Linked DNA regions of Bombyx mori. The protein of the gene in region 3 purifies or fractionates together with the protein of the main gene of each other region. This does not show direct contact. Links are inferred from orthologs where the notes say so. Each region holds a gene or a part of one and is shown on either strand. Other genes may lie near its edges.

Region 1 (4,128 bases), on a different chromosome or scaffold from region 3:
GCAAACCTTGTAGCTGACTTACATGTTTCTCTGGAAGCAGATACACAAAATATATCTTTGAAAATCCTATCCTACCTAACCTCCTAACCTACCATATTCCATTCATTAATAATGATAGCACATTCTGTAAATGAATGAAACATGAATTTTCTTGAATGAGAAATTTTTATGCTTAGTTTAGTAAATAGTGTTTCGTAGTTGTTTTCGGTATGTTAGAGTAGTTCTTTACTATTCATAAGACATATTGTAAATCAGAACAGCACTTATTCAATAAATTGAAAATAATTAAACGACGTGCTATTGAATAAAACTCTTAAATCATTTTACTACAAATTGTTTTTAAGACAAGTTTCAACCTAACCCTCTAGAAATTAAAGGCATTTATAAACTAGATTCCTCATTCATACCTAATACATGGTTGCAGTTTCTACACACGTCATTGAAGCTGGCAAGGGGCTGATTATCAGCCCGAGGAGTCTTGCCCGCATGCTGTGTTACTGGAGTCTTCCATCCATTGCAGTTACAATCTGGTGTCTACCACAAATATTAAAACTGATAGCTAATGATATATTGTCAGTCAAATTTGAATAAGTCCATAAACTTATAATGTTTGATGGTTAATGGTACTACTAACATCTAAATAGAAAATATTTGAATTGAGTCGTCTATTATCAAAGGCGGCAATCTGTGCATTTGGACAAAAAAATGTTATTGATATGTCAATACAGATTCATTTGAATATAATCGTCTCCTTCAAAGAATACGGTTTAAAACCTGCATTAAATAAAGGTTAATAGTTAACCTGTTATTTATCTAAGATGTCGTTCCGAAGAGTTTTGTGACTGCCAATGGAATACAAAGTCAATAATTCGTTTTTCTGATTTACCAATTATTGTCCAAAAGTCAGATTGCCGGCTTTGATAATAGTCGACTCAATTATAACATATTTTTTAATGTTTCTTTTCATTTTATTATTTCACAGAAGGCAGAATAATTAGAATTTGCGAAAGGATATGAAATCTAGAAATTAGATACTTATATTGTTATACAGTACACTTAACATTATGTTTTTCAAAATCATTTTCATCATTCATTGCTATTTGCTTTTAAGTTATGGGTATAATGTTAAGTTGAGATCAAGAGGAGTTACTTCGTTTTATTAAATAATGTTTTCATGGTTTTTAATTCCTTATCGCTTAAAAGTCATGATAGGACATCATTACATTCAGTGCATTAGTAACATTTTCATTTACAATACCTGACAGGCTGAATATATAGCTAGTTTGAGTAGTTTTTTATTATGGGGCCAGTTGAAAACTTGTTGTTTTCTTTGTTGTATCCTTTGTAGGTTAGACTGCCGGGAAGCCTGTCCTTCACTGCCTGCAGGAGTCCCGGCATTGCTTGATGATGCATCATCTGCACTTAAGCTTGATGTAGCTAGAGGAAAGTTTGTAAATGAACGCTGAGTTATTGCGGTAGTTTAGTAGCAAATTATAATAAATTTATTTGGAATTAAAGGAGAAGTTTGTTTTTCTTGGTGTTGAGATCTCCTGTGGCTATACAAAGCACACTGTGCAAGTTACTGTTCACCTTCAAATATCAGATCAATCAGATTACATTCCAAAATGACTATTTTACCTAGTAAAGCCTTCATAATTGCTTTGACAGATACAAACAAGAATGTAGTGGTAATTTTTACTGATAGCACTTTTTATTTTATTACTTGAACAAATATTCGCCAGCACCTTAATGATTATTAAACCTCTAATGTTGTTGTTGTTGTAAGCCTCTAATGATTATTAAACCTCTAATGTTCATTTTCAAACTTATTGCTTACACAGTTTCATATCCATGTTTGGGAATAGCAGCCTTTGGTCATTTTGTTTCTATATAATATTTTTATATATAATGACAAGAATAATTATGAGGAATGGATTTATCTGTCCCGCCATGTACATGGTGAATATCTGCTAATTCTTCTATGTAGTAATTGCAAGTTGGGCCATCACTTAAAATATGCTTTTCAATACATGGCCTATTAGTCGCCATACTTATATAAAGCTACACCACACCTGGTTTATAGCGGTGAATATTGTAATGAGGGTAGTCTGAGATAAGAAAGTTTATGAGAATATAGATAGACCTGGTTATGTAGTAGTAGCTCAAGAAAGTACGGTTTCCAGCCTTTCTGAAAAATAGCTGATCAGACTATCACTATATAAGATTCTTTTATATGTGTATGTAATAGAGAAATTACAAGTACTAATGGCTTACAACTATCTATAGAATAGCGGGAGAAATTACCACATACAAAACACAGTTGAATTTCGATTTTGTTAAAATTTAGCTCAATAGCTAAATTTACACACATACATTTAAATTTACAGTTACAATTAACTTGGTTCACGTGGTGTTTTCATTTTCAACTACATATATTAAAAAAGCCGATAAGATGTTAAGGTCATTATTCTGGTGATTTCTATACAAAATTATTAATTATAGTTGAAGAAGCGTGATTTTGTTTATTTACCTTCATGTGTATGATTTTGTGAGGAGTCTGGCTCTGTGCTTGTCATTGCTATGTCAGCTATTTCGTCAGTCGCTTGAGACATAATATACAATCACAAACAAATTTTTGTCGCAGTAATTCTTCCCGTAAATAAGAAGTCAACGCTCTCATTTATGTATTCACTGCATTTTGGAAATAGTTACACTGATAACATGAAATAAGGCGCAAACAACAGCAGTCAAACTTTTTATCAGAATTAGACAGTTGACGTTAACACAGATTTCAGATTCAAATGACAAGTATTGTCTCCTTCATAGATATTTTTTTTTTGGTACCATTTTTCCTTGTTAGGAAAGGCAAGGGAATCTAAGCCCATACAGCCTTGTCTGCTCTATATATTCTCTGAAATAAATTTTCAAAAAAGCCGAAGCCAGGTCTTATATGATATATCTTCATAGATAATACACTTGTCTCCTTTTTGCTATAATCTATGGAGGGTAGAGGTAAGGAGAACCGTCTGGACTTTTTGGCGGGAACGCGAGGAGTGAAGTTGTGTGATTTTTTTTATTTTTTTTGTCTATTTAGTGTTTCTTCGGGTTTAAATGTGTAATAATGGTGGTTTATTAACCGTTTAATATCTGTGAAAGTGCACAAATGTGGGAAAATGAAACAAAGCCGCTGGACGTAACTTCTCGGGATCCTCCAAAAAGTCCACTGAAAAAATCTTAGTAAATGACCACCATTTTACTGATATTAGATTTCATCTCATATCATCTTATTTAATTTCATCCCAGTTGATTAAAGTCTGAAATTAATCATTTTTATTTCATTTCACTCCATAATATCATTTTTCATAAAATTAAGAATATACATTAAAATAAGACATGACTTAAAGGTCTCAGTTACCAGGTCATAAAATCTCTTAAAAAAAAAGGAGAACCGTCTCTGGTAGTTTTCCAATAACAGCACAAGAGCGCATTAAGCGGCACAATGCATAAATAAGCTTCAGCATAATTCGGCATTGTGCGTCACTGAGTCGCATTATGCTCTGTAACTGGAAAACTACCTGTATTAGTTTTCCAATTACAGAGCATAATGCGACTCTAATATGCGAATATTATATATAAAACTTGATTACATTCAATTACTTATGATCAATTTATATTTAGTTGGAAAATGATCTGCGACAAATTTTTCCTGTAAGCTATGAGAGAATTAGAAAAAACATCTATTTCATCACTTAAAATTAGTTCAGCGCAATCGGACAACCCCGAATGAACATATGTTGTTGTTCAAAGCAGGCATGTAATTACCAATTATTCTAACAAATTTTGTTACTAAGGAATAAGTGATTAATGGTGGTATGGCTCATCATACGAGACTACTTGTCGAACCGTTCGTTCCGATATCGGGTCGAGGGAACGCACTCTCGCCCCCGTCACGTTACAGCCTACAGCCGGAGTCCCGCAAGGCTCCGCCCTCTCCCCGTTACTGTTTAATTTGTATATCAATGATATACCCCGGTCTCCGAAGACCCATCTGGCACTCTTCGCCGATGACACGGCTATCTACTACTCGTGTGGGCGTGTAGGAAGAAGTCGTTATTGCATCGACGACTC
Region 2 (4,039 bases), on a different chromosome or scaffold from region 3:
TAACAATAAAGTTTAATTTTGTATTCATTTATGTATAGATTCTCTGTCTACGCTCAAGCAAGATTTGAGAAAACTTGAATTAAAAACATTTCGCTGTCATATACAACAGAATATAATCTGTAGTAAGTTTTTTTTTTGGGATTTCAGACCTGGTATTTACAACCTTTAGGTCAAATCTGTAGTAAGGTTTTGGAGCTACAGACTAGTTAGAAATTATTTTGGATTTACATGTTCCATTAAGTAGTAGTTTTCTTTTTACCACTTACAGCAACGCTCATAAGGAGCATGTTACTATCACAGATTAATATGCAGTATTATAAGAGAGCTGCTTTTAAACTAGAAATTAACGAATTTCATTGGAATTATCACTATTTGTAAGACTAGTAACAGTTTCCTGGTTCAAATTTAGCTTAGGTCTATATTTTACGTCTATGGTTGCCTGGTAAGTTCGACTATTAATTTGCAAATTATACTGTACATCGTGAATTTTAATATCACCGTCCTTTTCTATACTTGCGTTAGGAAGAGATATTGTAGTAAAAATACGTCTTATCAGACATTCGACAGGAATGATGCGTCTTAGCTTAACGTTAAAAATCTTTTTCACACAGTAATACGGTTTTCTAAATGAGAGCATTAAATTACAAACAAAACAGGATTTTGATTTTGTCGAACTGTCTGTAAACTGTAACTGTAAAAACTGTCTCACACTTCAAACTAGAATGCATGATGGTTTCATGGAAGAAATACACTAATATAAGCCTCTTGTCGATCGCAAGACCTATATTGGTTTATTATTTCTGTGCATCGTTCATTGTTCAGTTTTCTTAGTTGTATTTTGTGACAACAACGGGAAGCGATAGGGTAGTTTTTTTTTCTACCTAAGCCGATAGCCTTGAGAGGCTATGTCAGTCAAACCTAACAAGTAGGTGAGCTCACGGGGCTCAAACCTGACGATTTTGCTAACACTAACCCTAGCAAGAGCAGTGCTTCGCAGAATCTACTACCGGATCGGAAACGCGACCCACTGTGAAGATCCGGCGAGAAACTCGGTGAACTGTGTCTGTGGGTTAATTTTCTCGCCGATGACCGGATAGGGTAGTGTTACTCCAATCTTGCGCTACCAAATTAATTTTCAAATACATAGTAGATTCAAATCTATTCAACATGTTAGAATGCGTAGTTAAGTTTTAGGAAATAAAATATTTTACAAAATATGTTTTATTACTCTGGTAACTCAAAATGTTTGGGAATAAAAAACGTAAAATGGCTTTGGAAATTTGTGCGCTAATCTGAAGCCTGCCAACGTACAAGTTTAAAGTTTGTTTTCACTGTAATAAAAATCATGTCATTTTCAGATCTTTACGCTAAATATAATTGTACATATTGTCAAGAGGAAATAAACGGCGTAAGAGTTAAATGTACTGAATGTGTTGATTTTGATATTTGTTTGCAGGTAAAGTAGTTGATACTGCCATTTTTGTTGATAGTTTTGGCGCAAAATTTAAAATTGTCACTTAGAAATTAATATGCAATAAAATGCATTTTCAGTGTTTTTCTCTTGGTGCTGAAATCGGACAGCACAAAAACGATCATTCATATCAGTTTGTGGTAAGCACTTTATAAACGACTACTGTAATACTATTACAGAAAGTAAATAGATTTTCAAGAGTGTTCTATTTTTCCAGGACTCTGGGGCTTTTGGAATATTTTTAGGACGTAGTAGCTGGTCAGCTAACGAAGAAGTAAGATTATTAGATGCCATAGAACAATTCGGCTTTGGTAACTGGGAGGATATAGCAAAACATATTGAAACAAGAACTCCTGAAGGTAATTTAATGATATAAGCTACTCAGTAATCTGCTGTCTTAGCACTGTGCTTCGGTTCATTTTTCAACATTGGCATCAAACAGCATACATTGCATGCCTTGGCAAAGAATACCTAGTATATGCATACTATTATTTGTAACTTTTTATCTAAATGCAATAACAATTTTCAAAAATAGCTTCTGCAACGAAAAAACATTGTTGAATAAAATATGGTGAATATTTCGAATTTCAATTTTTTTTAAAGCTTCAGCTTTTATATTTGGGTAGACGTGCTTACCGTCTACCTGTTGTTGTTAGGTGGTTACGGGATTCAAGAGATTTCAACTACGTAAATGTTACTAGCCACCTTTAGGCATGATTACTAAGTCTCAGTTTTATAATATCGAGGGGTGAAATGCTATTTGGTATAACGTACATTACCTTAGTAATTAAAGGTATACTTGGTATCAACAGTTCGATGTTTTTAGTTGAATTTCAATTTACGTTTACTCCATTCAAATAGCTGAAGACGTTTTTTGGTTATGATATTTTTTCCAATTTTTAAGCTTTGAATGGCCTTCCTGTAAAGTTGTCAAAAATGTCATTTAAACCGAATAGCCTTTTACTCCCTTGATATAGTAACTTTGCATATTTAATGGTGACAGCATGGTCACAACCATTCAATAATGTATATAAACTCACCACATGCAATGTTAAGACAGGATTTTTTCATGGGCTATGGAAGCTCAAAATATATATTAAACAAGAATAAGAAATATATATTAAACATTTACATTAAATAAATTTTGTTGGGATTAAATTTACATGATGCATATCCTTTATTTTCACAAGTAAAAAAGAATAATTTGGAAATAAATCATCCCATAAGTTCAAATCAACGATTTAACACCAGTACTAAAAATAATAAATAGGGTGAGAAGTAATTATTTAAATCTGTTGAGAATACTTCTAAAAATTGACACCGCAAAAGGACTGACCATGTCAATCTCAGATTCTTTAAGACCTCTGCACTCTTCTAAACTCCTTCCTAAACCTGTAACAGCGATGGAAGCATTGTAAACAAATATACTGAACTGCGACTATAGGTAGAGCAAAGGAGGTTCTGCTTCACATGGTGGCAGTGGTACAGTAGTGCTGAACTTTAGAAAGATTACCAAAGAATTATCATACTATATATAAATTTATTAATTAAATATAATAATAAAAATAAATAATAATCATAATCATCGTTCTTTCCTATTACCCTCTGCTGGGGTGTAGGGCTCGAATCAAATCCTTTCATTTACATCATTGTTATAAGAAAGACAAATAAATAATAATAACAAATAAACATAAATTTCAATTACAGAAGCAAAAGATGAATACATTACTAGGTACCTGGAAGGCACCATAGGCAAAGCAACATGGGGCAATATTGAAAGTACATCTCGCCCATCACTACATTGTGCAGATAAAGATGATGGCCCACTTGGTCCAACTGCAGTGTCTCGACTACCAAACCTAGCTATAACAGTAGACGAAGCAGCACAACTTGGGTATATGCCAAATAGAGATGATTTTGAAAGAGTAAGAATGAATTTTTTGTACTATTTACTATAATAAATTAAAATATTGTTCTACAAAGTGTCGAAATTTCAGGAACATGATCATGAGGCAGAGCAGTTGATCTCAACATTATCATTAAATCCAGAAGATGATGAATTAGATGTTGGTAGGTTATATATAGATATATATTCAATAGATAAGTGGTTTTTGGTTGATAAAATATGTGGTTTTTAATATAATAATATCCTTTTAAAAAAATCATAATAATGACTGATAGACTGCCGACCTTGAGCTTGAAATTTACATATGAATTATTCACTCTGAGACGTCTCTTATTTGATACATATTATGAACAGGCTAGACTAAAAGCTTTATAAGATCTGTATATCTATTTTATGATTTTAAAACGTCTCATAGCTTAGTTAAATACATATAAGATATATATAATAAATAAAAAATGACATATCCCGTTTTTTTTATTTTTTATAGCACTAAAGCTATCACAAGTTGATATATACATCAGAAGACTGAGAGAGAGAACGAGACGAAAAAGATTAGTTAGAGATTTCCAGTTAGTGTCTGTCTTCTTCAACAATCAGAGGAATAAACAGAAGACCCTAGGAAAACTTGCCAAAGAAAAAAAGTATGTACCAATAATATTTTT
Region 3 (4,035 bases):
TACTTGTATAAACTTTTAATTTACTTAGGTAAATAATAAATAAAGAGATAACACATAATTTTATTTCATGGATTACACTTTTAAACCATCTAAAATAAGTTACCTGAACAATGCAGTTCATGAAGCATGTTGATCCTAGGTTCTGTAAGCCCCGTAAACCTATTGTAGTATGAGGACTGATAAGGCGCCGTTTACGTAGGCGACGAAGAGCCATTGCTTCATTATGGTTTGGTAACCATGGCATAAAAGGTATGCTTATACCAAGGGACCTGCACCAAAATGTAAACGTTTTACAAATCACAGTTGAGGTAGTAACGTATAGTATTAGTACAGAATGTGGTACAGTTCGATTGAAAAACAATACAATTTAAGATTTACATATATCTTTGTCAATATATATATCTATTTATCATTAAAATGATCAATTTCTTTTGTAGTTGTATATTATGTTTGGTGAAATAAATAAAAATCTAAATCTAAAAATCTAAATTCCTTGCTGTTGTACAATTAGGTAAATTATATTTGTTTAATAAAAGATGCATACTTAGCCTCCTTTGCCTTATGTATTGCAGCGATCTCAGTAAGCTCCCTATCATAAATGTAGTCTTGGCATTGAGCACAGAAGACATTTCCATAGCTAAGGTCAACATACAGGAAGTGTTTCTTAGATTTGGAGTGTTCTTGAATATGACCAGCATAGCATGCAAAGTAGATACAGTGGAGACATGAATGCATACGAGGTCCAGGCTGGCCACAAGCAAAGCAGAGACAGGATGTTGCCTGAAACATCAATCATTCAATGTTGTGTGCAATTGTTACTAACAATTAGTTTAATTTAAATGGCATTGTTACTTAAATTGTTATTAGTACAAGAATTGTAATTATAGAAACTTCTGAAAAAGCAAATCGTTTTTTAATCTTTTTATTTTTTTTTACTACCTAAGCTGATGGTCTAGTCTCTAGAGAGACCATGTCAGCGTCGCCGGGCTAATCACGAGTCGTGTGTATTTTATAGTATTTATATGAAAGCTACGCTAAGCTATCACGAATAAAGACCACGCGTTTTATAAATTCCTCCCCTTATGTGTAAATTTCTAATAACAGAACACAATTCTGTGCTGTTTAGTTAAATTTACCATTGAAACACATAAATGGATGACAAAGAAATCATATTTGTAGTTAATATCAATGTTGCTGAAGTAAAATCAATAATGTGCAACGCTCAAGATTGAACGGCGCATCGTAATTGCGACTAAACGCAAACAGCTGTTTCGAGGTCAAAGATCACTAATCAGCTGATTACAGATTTTAGCACAAAAATATCTCACATAATTTCATACTAGTTTAATAAAACAATCCTTATTTTTCTCATTTTTCTTTACTTTTCATAAACAAATCAAACAGTTTTATTGGAACAATTTGCAGCGCAGAAACATTTTTGTACAGGTCTTTCGCATTTTTTTAAATATAGCTTTTCTTTTAAAAGAAGTATCTTACCTTGTATCTCCGTGCTTCATACGACGTACAGGAAACAAAAAATGCATGTACGATTTTATATGGGTTAGTGCCTTTAGCAGCCTTAAAATTATTTAGGTGTATGCAACCATTGTCATTCATTATTTTGGCTTGTAAATTCACCGGTTACAAAGATATCTCGCTGACAGAAATTAGAATGAAAGCATAATAAGATAATGACGGTCGGTAACCAAAATAAAAATAACAAAACACTAATACTGAAAACAAGCAATTAAATGAAAATTTAAAATTCTGAACCAAGAAATCGAATCTGACTGCTGATCGGTATATCAGGAGGTATATTATCTATGCTGCTGAAGCTGACTTGAATGAAATTATTTGACTCTAAGCTGTGAACGGGGCGCGGGGTGTGTGTGTGTTTTCTTTTAAGGGATTTTATGACCTGGTAACTAAGACCTTTAAGTCATGTCTTATTTTAATTTATATTCTTATTTTTTTGAAAAATGATATTATGGAGTGAAATGAAATGAAGATGATTAATTTGAGACATTAATCAGCTGGGATGAAATAAAATGAAATGAGATGATATGAGATGAAACATAATCTCAGTACTCTCAGTAAAATGGTGGTCATTTACTGAGATTTTTTCAGGGGGCTTTTTGGAGGATCCCGAGAAGCTACGTCCAGCGGCTTTATTTAATTTTCCCACATTTGTGCACTTTCACAGATATTAAACAGTTAATAAACCACAATTATTACACATTTAAACCTGAAGAAACACTAAATAAACAAAATAAAACAAATCACACAACTTCACTCCTCGCGTTCCCACCAAAAAGTCCGCGGGGTGTCGGTAAGGTGCTGCGTAGATTATAACGATTCAACGCACCGGACTATACATACATAGAGAAATTATTTTTTTTTAAGAGATTTTATGACCTGGTAACTGAGACCTTTAAGTCATGTCTTATTTTATTCTATATTCTTAATTTTATGAAAAATGATATTATGGAGTGAAATGAAATGAAAATGATTAATTTGTGACATTAATCAACTAGGATGAAATTAAATGAGATGATATGAGATGAAATCTAATCTCAGTAAAATGGTGGTCATTTACTAAGATTTTTCAGTGGACTTTTTGGAGGATCCCGAGAAGTTACGTCCAGCGGCTTTGTTTCATTTTCCCACATTTGTGCACCTTCACAGATATTAAACGGTTAATAAACCACCATTATTACACATTTAAACCCGAAGAAACACTAAATAGACAAAATAAAACAAATCACACAACTTCACTCCTCGCGTTCCCGCCAAAAAGTCCATAGAGAAATTACATTTGTTCTAACCATAGATTATACACTTAATATATTCGAGTTCTAACCATGGAGTTCTATCCTCTATAAGTTTCTGGCTGGATCTTCTCAGTGGGTCACGATTCCAATCCTTTGGTAGATTCTGCGAAGCACTACTCTTGCTAGGGCTCTTGTTAGCAAATTCTCTCAGGTTGAGCCCGTGAGCTCCAACCATTCGGGCGTAGCTGGAATAGCCTCTTAGGTAGGGAAAAAAAATCCATGGCTCTAACATGCAATAGGGAGTTCAACTCAGCTCAAAAAAAGAAATCTGTACATCACATGCAAAAGATTGACAGATTTTCTTTATTGCGTAGATGAATTTATGAGTGTTAATAACGCGGATTTCTCATCTTGCGATTTGGGGTCAATATTTTAATTGTATTAAACAACGCCTGTAAACCCTTCAGACCCGAACGCATAGCTCCTTTGATTTAAGCTGGGTGGATGGTCATAATATAACACTAATAAATACAAATGTTTTATACTTAGATAACGCTGCTTGTTTAATGTAAATGGTGAATCACATAGCAGCTTTTTACGAGATAAAAGGAATAATAAAGGAACCCAAAGACAGCTTAACTGGCCAAATTATCATATTTTAAGCATGAACAGGGTGGCCATTGCTATAAAAGTGAAACTAAAATATTCTAGTTCGCTTGTGGAAGCGAGACTAACTTTTCGATAGAGTAGACATTTCTTTGGGTACTTAAGTGCTGTTTCAAGCATAAGTGTATAATCTATATTTCAAGCTATTTGTTGAAATGTTGTAAATAAATATGGCCGCGAGTCATTCAATAATGATGTAAACTTTTGTTTACTGTTTTTAAATTATTTTGAGAAATGATAAGTGATTTTGAAAATCTATCCCTTAGTGGAAGCAATGGTCCCAATAATCATACTGATCCATTTACTCATACGGGTGAGTGTCATGGTAATTTAATTTGTGGACGTGAAGATGTTTTGCTACTATAATGACCTCAATGGCCACTATTATGTGCCATGGATTAATATGGTCATCATACCGTTATTTTCAGAGCTGACAGCTGAACAGCAGAAGACTTTGATTGATATACGACGTAGGAAAACAGAGTTACTGCTAGAAATACAGGTCGGTACAATTTGCTAATCTAATCAATCATGTTCTTGAGTTAGCTTCACCTGTTATCTCGCAATTACCTTACGTTAACGCGGTAAACAGTTCTGT

What was found. The genes of interacting proteins can lie anywhere in the genome.
Region 1: the proteins of ubiquitin carboxyl-terminal hydrolase nonstop (region 3) and histone acetyltransferase KAT2A purify together in Drosophila melanogaster (affinity purification with western blotting, with the first as the bait; 3 studies listed by BioGRID). This does not show direct contact. The link is inferred for Bombyx mori from reciprocal best matches to the Drosophila melanogaster genes not and Gcn5.
Region 2: the proteins of ubiquitin carboxyl-terminal hydrolase nonstop (region 3) and transcriptional adapter 2B purify together in Drosophila melanogaster (affinity purification with mass spectrometry; 3 studies listed by BioGRID, with this or other methods). This does not show direct contact. The link is inferred for Bombyx mori from reciprocal best matches to the Drosophila melanogaster genes not and Ada2b.

Annotation. Positions count from the first base shown.
Region 1 is NC_085120.1:4,791,267-4,795,394, forward strand, and holds the start of histone acetyltransferase KAT2A, read right to left. Parts: upstream 2,801-4,128; 5' UTR 2,613-2,800; coding exon 2,531-2,612; intron 1,438-2,530; coding exon 1,259-1,437; intron 535-1,258; coding exon 408-534; intron 31-407; coding exon 1-30.
Region 2 is NC_085131.1:6,658,781-6,662,819, reverse strand, and holds the start of transcriptional adapter 2B, read left to right. Parts: upstream 1-1,239; 5' UTR 1,240-1,345; coding exon 1,346-1,456; intron 1,457-1,551; coding exon 1,552-1,611; intron 1,612-1,688; coding exon 1,689-1,830; intron 1,831-2,567; exon of another isoform or gene 2,568-3,178; coding exon 3,179-3,396; exon of another isoform or gene 3,397-3,468; coding exon 3,469-3,541; exon of another isoform or gene 3,542-3,864; coding exon 3,865-4,018; exon of another isoform or gene 4,019-4,039. UniProt on the Drosophila melanogaster protein: Component of several Gcn5-containing histone acetyltransferase complexes that regulate nucleosome organization; involved in acetylation of histone H3, particularly on Lys-10 (H3K9ac) and Lys-15 (H3K14ac).
Region 3 is NC_085123.1:10,250,363-10,254,397, reverse strand, and holds the start of ubiquitin carboxyl-terminal hydrolase nonstop, read right to left. Parts: upstream 2,801-4,035; 5' UTR 1,618-2,800; coding exon 1,498-1,617; intron 781-1,497; coding exon 545-780; intron 270-544; coding exon 104-269; intron 1-103. UniProt on the Drosophila melanogaster protein: Histone deubiquitinating component of the transcription regulatory histone acetylation (HAT) complex SAGA. Catalyzes the deubiquitination of histone H2B, thereby acting as a coactivator in a large subset of genes.